Linked DNA regions of Rhinolophus ferrumequinum. The protein of the gene in region 1 purifies or fractionates together with the protein of each later gene. This does not show direct contact. Links are inferred from orthologs where the notes say so. Each region holds a gene or a part of one and is shown in the gene's direction. Other genes may lie near its edges. The genes, in order: E2F6, YAF2 and MGA.

Region 1 (3,748 bases):
ACCTCTTCCTGCTCTATGGTTCTATGACCCAGATTATTACATGCAGAAAATTAATGGGGAACAGTCCTTGCTGCCACCATTTCTCCTCTGCCATCTTTTACACATGCCTCTTCATCCTTCAACTCTCATAGGAGGATATGTAATTAGAGACAATGTGAGATAGCCATAGATGGAGGTAATGTCTAGTGTGACTTTGCAGTCTTACTATGTTTGGCAAGTCAGTCTTCTCTATTGTTCCCCATTTGTAAATATTAACTGAGTGCATGCTATGTCTCCCAAATCTCCAATCCTACCATCTCCCCTTACTCTCAGCAGGTGACCTTGGCTTCATAGAGCATGAACTCCCTCAACTTCCTGCCAAGTCACAGGCGTTGTAAGTGTCTGGAGGGGGTGTCACTGCCCTAACCCTCCACAGCTGTGCTCACGCTGTCTTCAGCCTGGAGTGCCTGCCAACTTCGTCTTGACCCACACCTCACTTTCACTCACTTGACCCCATTTCTGGCTGCAGATAATCTAGTCACCTTTCAATCGCCTTCTCAAGAATCGGCATACCAAATTAATTAATCAACTGTAGAGTCAAATCTTGCTTCTACCACTGCCTAGCCAGGACCTGGGGTAATTTTTGTAATCTTGCTCATCTTTGTTTTCCTGATCTGTAAATTGGGCAGAAAAACACCTATCCATCAGTTTTAATACAAGATTTACATGAGAAAATGTATGTAGAACATTGAGCAGAATGCAAATGATGAATGAACACCTTACTTATTAAAAACAGTCTTTACTGGTGTCCAGAGCTTGCCTTCTCAGGGACTCTGGTAGGTAAGGGCATCTTTTAACTGGAAGAAAAAGGAAAGAAAGAGAAAGAAGCATGTAAGTAAACAATTCCGCAACGGTTTGGTTTCCAACATTTACTAAGCATCAACGCTGGGTAAGTGCCTGAGATGTGCAGAGGGAGCTCAGGAATAAATTAACACCTCTGCCCACTCAGATCCTTCAGTTACTAGTGTCATCATGTCAAGAATTCCGCGGGACAAATGCGGTTTTCCTGGCCGCCTGTTTTTGTTTTTTTGTGTTGTTTTTTTTTTTCGTGCTGTTCCCTTCCCCCGGATTCCTGCTCCACCTCTTCCTTTTCCTTAGCCATCCTCTCCGTGGATTCCGCCTCCCAGGGTTTCGCGGGCTCCAGCTCAGGACCGGATTACTGCGTGGGAGCGCTCCCGCTGTGCCAGACATGCGCACTGGGGGCGGCGCACTGCGCATGCGGAAAGATGGCGGGCATGGCGTCTTGAGAATCGTGGGTCTCCCTGCGCTCCTGCAGTCTGCGTGCTACTTCCCGGGGCCGTTGGACAGTGGCGCGTTCGTCTCCGGCCCAGACTAGCCCAGTGCACCTCCGAGCAGGCCACAAGCCCAGGTCTGGGCTCCGGGAACCAAAGCGTTGGGAGCGGCGTCCGACCCGAGCAGGAGAAGGCGGGAGAGCTCGCGGGGTGCGAGGGCGAGGGGCCGCTGGCCGGGCAGCATGAGTCAGCAGCGGCCGGCGCGGAAGCTGCCCAGCCTGCTCGTGGACCCGGCAGAGGAGACGGTGCGCCGCCGGTGCCGAGACCCCATCAACGTGGAGGGCCTGCTGGTAAGTCCCCGGGCCAGCCTGAGTCCTGCGCGCCTGGGGTCCTGGCCGGGGGCGGGGTGGGGTGGGATCGGGTCCGGGCGGCTCGCGTCTCAGGCTAGCCGCCCCTTTCCCTCACTGGGGAAGCCGCACTGAGTGTCTTCTGAATTATGAGCTCGCCCAGGGCTGGGCCGTGGCTGCTCCCCTGTCTCCTCTGGTCTTGCACTGCCCATTATGTACTACTATGAACCAACCTGGTCATTCGCTTAAACTCTGTTGCCTTCTTTCAACACGTCCTCTCAAATGTGTCAGCCTTCTTGGCTTTTACCTTGGGGCTACGGAGCACTGTTGGAGAAAGTTGCTCAACTTTGCGTTAGAAAATCTTGTTTTCCTACTTCCACTCACCCTCAGTATATCTCTGCAAGCGATCGTTTTTCTCTTGGGCTTCCTCTCCCATTCTACTTAACTGTAACTATTTAAAAGCTTGTCCATATCTCACATTTCCCACCCCACAGTTCCCCATTCAGAAAGACAGAAAAAAATGGAAGGGGAGATTGGGCTTCGTTCCAGCTGAAGGTTAATTTCCTCTATTGTTGCTCTAGATTAGATGCGATATACTGTATGTCATGATGTAACTCCCAAATCTATAAATCGAGCTCAGAGCTTTCCAACTGTCTACTAGATATCTCTACTTAGATTTGAAACTCACATGTCCAAAATTGAATTCATTATCTTCTAACCTAAGCAAGAAACAACTTTGCTGTTTCCTAGCTTAATAAATGGTAACACACCCACCCACCGTATTGTCCAAACACCTATCCTAAGCATCATTCTTGCCTTTTCTTTTTTTGAAACTGACTCCCTCCATCTTTCTAATCCAATTAAAATTAATCCCCAGTACTTGCCACTTTTAACCATCTATCTTTCAGATTGTTGCAATGTCTTACTAACCACCTTTCCTGCTTCTGGTTTTGCCCCCAACTTTTCTGTATATTCTCCACACAGCAACTAACCGTGTGGTCTTTTTACAGCATATTTATGATCATTTCATTTGGCTTAAAGACTCTATTGTGGTTCCCTAGTGCTGTCAGGTTAGATTCGAAACTTCTTAATCAGGCCCCTGGGTTTATCTTTCCTGAACTGCTTATAGTTGCTAAATTTTTCAGATTTTCACATTCTTTTGGATAAAATGGTGATTCGAATACCTATGTCTGTGTTTTTTAATTGGCTAATGATTGGAAGTATTTAATAATTAAATACATAGAAGTCTATTGCTGTGCAAAGATTAGTTATATACCTGACTGTTTGATGTTCCCATTACGTAAATGGCTTGCAAACTGAGAAGGGAGAAAATAGTATTGTTTGAAGGTAGTATGTTTTTAGTATTATTAGCAGTATATAATATAGTATTATTTTTCAGTTAAGGAACATTTAAATGAATGTAATCACCTTGGAGAAAGGTATGTTTTCAGAGGGCTCTTAAAGGGATGTTATTCTCCAAAACAGGCAGTCGGTACAAAGAGGCATCCATATAGAGAAATTTTTAACTAATTTAAAGACAGTGCTTAAGATTTTAGTTTCCAAAACTCACTTTTTAGTCTCTTCTTTTTCTTTGAAATCTCAGATTTAGAAGCATTGGTCTTTAGATGTAGGACTAGGAACGGTAGTAAAATAGCATGGAATGTGCTGACTTGCACATCAGAAGCTGCTGGTTCTTAGGCTGCTGTCATCCGTAGTGATTTTGGAGGCCTCTGCCTTCTCTGTTCCTTTCCAAGGCTATATAATAAACCTGAACAAATGAGAGGCAGATTTGAGGATTGAAAGGGAAAGACTCTTAGGTAGTCTAGTCCTGAGATGTGACTGGTACTAGGCGCTCCCTTGGTATCCGCTCAGGGAAATCACCTGCAAGTGACCTCTCAGTGATAGAAACGTTGATGCTGCCCCCGCAGTTGTGGGTTGCAGGAACTAGAAGCAGCATCATCTCTGCTGGCATCTGGGCAGGTTAGTCACATAGAAATTTACGGGAGCGTTCCTCTGAAGACGCATCCTAAAGGTGCTGAAAAGGTAAAAACCAAGTGTCCTTATTTCAAAGTGCAGGAGCCACTTTGAAAAGGCCTAATCGGCAACAGTTTGAGCCTTAAAGTAACAGAC
Region 2 (3,748 bases), on another chromosome or scaffold:
TTGATCAGGATGGTGTCATTACCAGCACTGACTAAACTGGGGTGATCCGGCTTGAGCTTCGGAGACCAGTTATATGGTCCTTGTTAGTATGTACAAAGTGAGGGCGTCCAGTATGTTGAGATAATTGAGATCTGGAAGGAAGGTAGCGTTCAGGGCACATGTAAACGCGTTATTTTAAAAAAGGGCTTATGAATACTTTAAAAAAAATTTTTCCCCCCAAGCAGCTACTGCAGATGCCTGGGAAGCCGAGGCAGCGCATTTGGCATTAAAACCAGGGTTAGATTCCTGGCTTTGTTATCTTCTGATTATGTAATAGAGGAAGTCACCTAACCTCTCTTGAGCCTCGGTTTCGTTTCTTCTAAATCAAAGGCAATCTTTACTTGGTAAAGCATTTTCCTGCATAAAACTAGACAGTATTTTAAGGCACTTAGCAATGGCGCTCAATGCTGATTCCCAACTCCCCCCAAGTATCCGGGCTGAGGCTGAATAGCCAAGGGCGGCCGAGGCTGGGAAAGCGGTTCTACCTGGAGACCGCAGCCGGGCACTCTCGTCCGGAGCTGGGCTGACCTCCGAACGCCGGCCCCACGTTGGACTAGGCTTCTCGTGGGGTTGACTGAGCATCCCCCGCCAGCCGGAGGGACAGACAGAGGAGCCCGGAGCGCGTGGCAGCCCCCGTCAGCCGGGGTTGCCGAGGGGAGGCGGGGAAAATCGGGCGGAGAAGCGGTGGCTGAGGCGCCGGAGGCTGCAGCTGCACCCCCACGCCGCCCGCCCGCGAACTCGCGGCGGGTGCTGGGCCGCGCTGGCCGCGTTTGAAGTCTCCGGCGCGACCGCTGGTTGGCCGGCGCGGGTCACGTGCGCCCAGGCAGGAGTTTCCCCGACAGCTGGAGGCTGCGTGGGATCCGGCGGCGGCTCCGGAGCTTGGCGGTGCGGCCTTCCCCGCCCCCTCCCTCCTCCCCCGCCCGCTTCCGCCCGGCTTATTATCCTCCTTATTGACAAACAGAGCGGCCGCGGCGGCGACTCTCGGCGTGCATCTGTAGCCAAGCCATGGGAGACAAGAAGAGCCCCACCAGGTAACAGCGCCCGGGCCCTCGGGCCCGGACTGTGCAGGCGGCAGGGCCCTCGCGTCGGGCTTCAGGCGGCCGCCTGGTTCGCCGCCCGGGCAGCAGGGCGAGAACGGGGGCGGCGCCGCTGCTGCGCGAGCGCTGCCGCGTGAAGGGCCGCCGCCGGCCGCCCCACAATGGAGCCGAGATGGCGGCGGCCGGAGCGGCAGTCCCGGTGTCACAGAGGCCGCGGCCGCGACGATAGCGGCCGCGCTCGCGCCTTCCCCCTTCTTTATTCCCCTCCCCCTCTGAGCCGGAGCGCGGCGTGTCCGGGGCCCGCGGGTGGGGGGGGGGTCGCGGAATTGGGTCGGGGGTCGGGGTGCGGGCGACCGCGGGGCCCGGGCGCTGGGCGCGGCCTGCTGGTGACCCCGCGCGACGTCGTGTCCGGGTTGTGTTCTGCAGGCCGAAGCGGCAGCCGAAGCCGTCCTCGGATGAGGGTTACTGGGACTGTAGCGTCTGCACCTTCCGGAACAGCGCGGAGGCCTTCAAGTGCATGATGTGCGATGTGCGGAAGGGCACCTCCACCCGGTGAGTCCCGGGCCTGCCTCGCGTGCTTCTGGCCAGCCGGGTCGCAGCGCAGAGGACGCCCCTGCGGCTGCCTCCACCTCCCGTGACACTTGCAGACCCGGCGGGAGGAAGCGAGACTGAGGTGGTGGCCGCGATAGGAATTGGGTCAGATTGGTCGCGACCCAAGCGATGGTTTGCGGTGAGGAGTAATTGAAGAGGCTGTATCGTTTTTTTGCTGCCAAGAGAGAATAAATTATTTAAGGAGGGCATTAGCTGCTGCGATTTAATTCGTATCGCTGGGTGTAATGTCATCCTCCCCCGCTCCATTCCGGATATAATAATGTTGGCTGCATTGTTGTGTTAGTGTGTAGGAATCAAAGAAAAACCATGAAATCCTCTTTAGGAGCAAAAGATGTAATTTAATTACGTTCCTCAAAAAGAAAACAATCTGATTATAGAATACCCAGTGGATTTAACTTCCCTTTTTATATAGACGTTTGAACGGGTCACATCAAGGTTTTGTTCAGTGTTTTTTTACAATTCTCTAATATTTTAACTTCCTTTTTTTATATAGACGTTTGAACGGGTCACAGCAAGGTTTTGTTCAGTGTTTTTTTACAATTCTCTAATATTTTATAAAAGTTGGTGGTGAGCCGTCACAGGGACGTAGTTTTACTGAAGGTGTCTGAATATCTTTAGTGTGGTCAAATGGTAATCTATTAGACTATACAAATGAGATTAAATGATCTCTGCCTATTTTCAGTCTTTATTGTAAGCTTACAGTATAATAACTCAGTCTTTTAAAAACCCACTTAAGTGAATTAAGTGGATAAAGAAAATCATCCAGGAAATTCAGACAGTGACATTCTTGATCTGCCAGCCTTAGTTATAGACTCCCTTCACCTTTATAGGAAGGTAGGCTTTAAATTAATTCGTTATAATCCTGTAATTCATAGACTAATATTTAGATAACACATATTTTGATATTACAAAGTCTGTTAGAAACTAAATTATCACAAGAGTATAAGTATACCAATGGGATATAATACTGTTGTTTTAAAAAAGGCATCCACAATATTTATATATTGATTTATATATTCAGAAGTTAGATTTCTAAAAATGAAATATCCAGATTTTTAAACACCATTTAGAGCGTTCCATTAAAAAATTTAAATGTAGAGACAGAAATGGTTGGCAGTATTTTAAAATTTTAAGAATTTAGTGAAGTCAGCTGCTTTTGACATACCTGTCTTTTTGTAAATCTTAACACGTTTTTTGTACATTAATTCCCATCTATATTGGATAAAATATATTGAGCATTTTTTATGGTATCCTTTGAAAAGAGAACTTTCAAACATATACAAAATTCAAGGGACTGTAATAGAATACTCTAAAAAAAAAAACCACCTATTTGCTAACATGAATGTGGTAACTAATTTTGGACCCGTGATTTAAGTATTTTGAAAAGTAGAATATCTTGATATCTTTATGTCTATATAAGGTTGGATTTGGTTTAGATTATATTTGTATATCTATGTTAGTACTTTGTACTTTTTTAAATGCTCAATAAGCAATTTTCAGAAAATTTGTTTTTTGGAGGCAGGAACTTTAAAGTGGAGACAATTATTATAATCTTAATCTCTGGTACAATATTGTTGCTTTTTGTTGTTCCCTCTATTTTCTTGTAGCCATTAGAAAAATACTGAAACTAGAAGAGCCTATATGTTTATTTGCAGGGACAGCAAGGAAGGGGGGAAGCTGGTGTCCTACTCCACAGCCAGTCTTGGGGTTAGAGGAACCCTGAGAAATAGAGTAGGTGGTGGCAGCTCAGAAGAGAAGAAACAGGCCGAATACCTGGCATCTGGAAGAAGAAGGAATATAGTGCACAGGGGAGTTGGCCCAGGACAGAGAAGTGGGCCTAGTATAAAAGAGGCTTGAGGCCCCCATGGGGGCCCCTGACATTTTTACCAGTACATCTGAGCTCTTGTAGATCCAGTTTTTAGTGGATTACTTGAGGAGGACTCAGAGAAGCATTGTCATTTGGATTGAAACTGAAGAGGCTCTGGGCAACTCACCAGAAGTCTAAGGGACACTCTGTTCCTAAAAGTAAGTGTTCTACACTACGACCCTCTCAGCTTCTT
Region 3 (3,748 bases), on another chromosome or scaffold:
ACATAGATAGGTATGTATATATCTTTTCAAATTAGTGTTTTCATATTCTTTGGATAAATATTCAGAAGTCTAATTCCCTTTCTTTTGACTTTCTAGTCAGGAAACAATTGTGTAATAATTAATTAGGCTCATCAAATATCTTGAAACAAGAAAAGGGTGTCTGAAACTATATTTTGGCTTGGTAATCATATTTTAAATTGATACATTTAATTCCTTGTTTATGAATCAGCACTGTTGTGAGTCTGACCGGTGGTAGTCAAATTCCCCATGCTTGATCATCCCTTTAACTGAAAGACCAAAGTTTTGAAATCCGCAAAACTGAGGACAGAAGTTCAAAGTGGAGGAGATTTGATATGAATTGTTTTAATTGGGGGCTTCATGGGAGTAGAATATTAAGTTTTGACCTGGAGGCCGGTTTGTGAATAGGTTACAAAATGAACGCGTTCCGATGTAAGACCACCTTTTCTCAGCGCTAGCAGATGGTGTTTTTCTCACTTCCAATATGCATAGCTAGTATTAGCTTGAACCAGAAATTGTAATAGGGCCCTTTAAAATGACTCCTCTTTCGTCCACCCCCATTTACCTCAACAAGAGGAGTAAGTTACCAAGGAAGATCTGGTCTTCTGTCCCAAGAGAAATTCAAGGTGTTATTTCCTCTCCCAAGTGGGGTTTTAAGTAAGTTGTATATAAATTAGCATTCTTTTCCACTGACCATGAAAGGCTGGTAGTTTACTTGTGGGCAAACACCCTTGCTGGTTTTTTTTGCAATATTCACAAAGGCACTCAGCAGGTACTTACTAAATGCATGCTCTATGAAGAAAGGTTAAGCGGTTTCCCCAAGACCACACGGATGGAACAAGTGGGGGGAGGGGGACTGAAAGTGCCTGTTATATCCAGTTACACTCCCATAATTACTCAATCCGCCTCATTCCAAGCCGAAGGACCGGGCTTTCAAGGGGACGTGAAAGGAATGCCCGGGAGGTGAGAGCCAGGAAATCGGGAGAGGTGCCTTTCCCGGCATGCTCTGCAGCACACCGAGGGGCGCCAGACGTATCCCGGCGTGCATCGGGGAGCGCCCAAGGGCGATGGTTCCCGGCTCCTGGAGGGGCACGCGAAGTTAAACTGGTAGGTATGAGCTTCCTTAGTTTTGAGACCCTGTTTCCTCGTTTCCCCTTTGTGAATGCCATCCCCTAACGGCAGAAAAGGAGGTCCTCTAACTACCCTCCCTTTCCGCGTGCGAAAGACTTTCAGCGCCGCTTCGAGCACGGTGCCAGGTGATTAGCGGTTAGGGGCAGGCCTGAGTTGACCACGTGACCAAAGCTGGCAGCCAATGACTAGCCTGGTGGTCCAGCAGCGCGAGGAATCCCGGACCCGTGAGCAGAGCGGCGCGGCGCGTGGGTCCGCTCCGGTCGGCCCGGCAGGTACGCGCAGGCGCCTTGGTTGCCACGCATCCCGTTCGTCCCCACGCGCCCAGTGGCGTGTACTTGGCGCGAGGTGTTAAGAGTATGTTTGGGTGTTTTTGTGGGTAGGGGGAAGGAGAGGGGTGGGGGGCTGGCATCACGTGGACGCCACAGCCAATCGCAGGCCGAGGCGCACCCACAGCTTTCCCCGGCGCCCCGGGGTGCGACGTGTTCAGTGAGGTTCGGCTCAGCCCTGACGGCCAGAGCGCTCTTTCGAAGCGCGTGTGCGGCTTGTAAAATCTGGCCACGGGTTTTAGTGGCGTCCACCTCCGCTGTGAACACGGACGACAAGTTCAAGGCAAAATGGCTGCTGGAAACAAGTCTCTTAGCAGGGGGAGCGCTGGGGCCGCGTGAAGGTCACATGACGAGGTTGGCAGCGCGTGCTGCTGGCGCGGGGAAGGGGGAGGGTGGGAGAAGAGAGAGGCGTGGCCAGTCACGTGCTGTCGACTGTGCGGTCCTGTGGGTTTCCAGCGCCTTACGCTGCGGCCAGATTGCTTGCTTTTACTCCTCCCACCTCGAAGCGTGGCAAACCTCGGCGAGAAGCTGTGTGGTGTGGTGAAATCAGCCGAGGTCTGAGGTCTGGGAATTAGGAGGCCAGGGGTCTAAGCCTTCAGCTACTTTTGTAATTAGCAAGTCATGTTGCCTCTCTCGGCCTCCATTTTGTCATTTATATTTTAGCTCTGTATAAGAGATTATTTCTTTAAGGTCCTTCGTATGGGAGATTGTTTCTTTAAGGTCCTTCGTATGGTGTATGACTCTGCCTCATCCCAATGTCATGTAGATAACAAAAGAACAGTGAACAAATTATTAACTGAGACAATCGCATCTCCCCACAAGAAAAACCCCATAACCATCCCCTCCCTCATCATTACGTTGATGTGGGAATTTAGTGAAGGTAATTTGTTATTAGAATCTGGCATATCTGTCCATTTTTATCAATAGCATTTATACTTTGTACCTGCCCACTTTCTTACTTGAAAACTATTCTTTTGGACGTCTAGTCCCTGTGTGTTTCTGGAAAGAAATTGAGATAATAGTATTGTCATCACTATGTCACTATGGAGATGGGGAAACACAAGTAATTAGAAGAGACTTGCTCATGCCCCATAAGGCTTCTCCTCTTGATGGGCCAATCTTTATAAAAAAATAAAAAAAAATAAAAAAAATTGAGGCTTCCTCTCACTAGCCTTTGGTATTTTTCATGGTTCTCTGCTCCCAGCTCCAGCTCTTCATTTAACCAAAGGTCAAGGCCTTTAGTGAAATGAAGCAGGCATACATTATATATTTTTCATATCACTCTTTCAGTTTCATGCTACCCTTTGATGTATCTTAAAGAGCCTTTGAATTTTGTGGGAGCACAATCTGGAAAACATTTATCGAGCAATCATTATAATGATAGTTGTCACTTTTGAGCAATTAGAGTAATAATTAACATCTTTCTAGCATATTACTTTATATGTCTTAATTCATTTAGTTCTCATAACAAACGTATGAGATAAGTACTATTATCTCCGTTTTACCAATGAGGGAAATAGCAACAGAGAGATTAAGTAATTTACAGAATTCCAGCCAGAATGCCTTTTGAAAGCTTGACAAAATGAGTCAAAAGTTTATTTTGAAGAATGAACCTGTAAAATAGGAAAAAATTTGAAAGAGAAAAGTGAGGAGGGCTCTTAACACTAGTGACCATACAAATAAAGCTGTGATAATCAAAACAGTAAGTAGTAACTCTGGACTAGAGCAGTGGAACAGAATAAACCTAGAAATATATAAGGCTATTTAGTACTATAAAGGTGGCATTTCATATAGGTTAAGAAAAAATTTCCAAATGATGTTGGAACAATTGGCTGTTTGAAAAAAAGGAATTGTACCTTAAAATGTAAATAAAATAAAATCCAGGTGAATTAAATATAAAATGTGAAGTTAGAAAATTGCTACTTTAAAAAGTGGGTAAACAATTTTCCAATCTTGGAATAGGATGAGTTGTTCTAAGCATGACAGAAAGGCAGAATTCATAAAGGCAAAGATTGATAGAATTATTGCACGAAACAACCTCTAGTTGGCAAAAATACCATAAAGTTAAAAGACAAATTTATTAATTCAGTATTCATTTAACATATTTATTGAGTGCTTACTATGTGCCAGGCAGTTTTTCAGGTATAGGGATCCAATGATGAGTAAAGCCAGACAAATTGTGGGAAAAAAATCTTGCGCGGTGTGTTGGACCTACGTTAATGACCTTAATGTCTAATGGCGGTAAAAGACATGAATAGGTAGCTCTCACACAC

What was found.
Region 2: the proteins of E2F6 (region 1) and YAF2 purify together in Homo sapiens (affinity purification with mass spectrometry; 4 studies listed by BioGRID and IntAct, counting the BioPlex papers as one, with this or other methods). This does not show direct contact. The link is inferred for Rhinolophus ferrumequinum from reciprocal best matches to the Homo sapiens genes E2F6 and YAF2.
Region 3: the proteins of E2F6 (region 1) and MGA purify together in Homo sapiens (affinity purification with mass spectrometry; 3 studies listed by BioGRID and IntAct, counting the BioPlex papers as one, with this or other methods). This does not show direct contact. The link is inferred for Rhinolophus ferrumequinum from reciprocal best matches to the Homo sapiens genes E2F6 and MGA.

Annotation. Positions count from the first base shown.
Region 1 is NC_046296.1:64,751,997-64,755,744, forward strand, and holds the start of E2F6 (transcription factor E2F6), read left to right. Parts: upstream 1-1,247; 5' UTR 1,248-1,513; coding exon 1,514-1,621; intron 1,622-3,748. UniProt on the Homo sapiens protein: Inhibitor of E2F-dependent transcription. Binds DNA cooperatively with DP proteins through the E2 recognition site, 5'-TTTC[CG]CGC-3'. Has a preference for the 5'-TTTCCCGC-3' E2F recognition site.
Region 2 is NC_046293.1:45,237,111-45,240,858, reverse strand, and holds the start of YAF2 (YY1-associated factor 2), read left to right. Parts: upstream 1-702; 5' UTR 703-1,044; coding exon 1,045-1,070; intron 1,071-1,502; coding exon 1,503-1,628; intron 1,629-3,343; exon of another isoform or gene 3,344-3,713; intron 3,714-3,748. UniProt on the Homo sapiens protein: Binds to MYC and inhibits MYC-mediated transactivation. Also binds to MYCN and enhances MYCN-dependent transcriptional activation. Increases calpain 2-mediated proteolysis of YY1 in vitro.
Region 3 is NC_046289.1:63,756,001-63,759,748, reverse strand, and holds the start of MGA (MAX gene-associated protein), read left to right. Parts: upstream 1-1,002; 5' UTR 1,003-1,125; intron 1,126-1,341; exon of another isoform or gene 1,342-1,421; intron 1,422-1,487; exon of another isoform or gene 1,488-1,503; intron 1,504-3,748. UniProt on the Homo sapiens protein: Functions as a dual-specificity transcription factor, regulating the expression of both MAX-network and T-box family target genes. Functions as a repressor or an activator.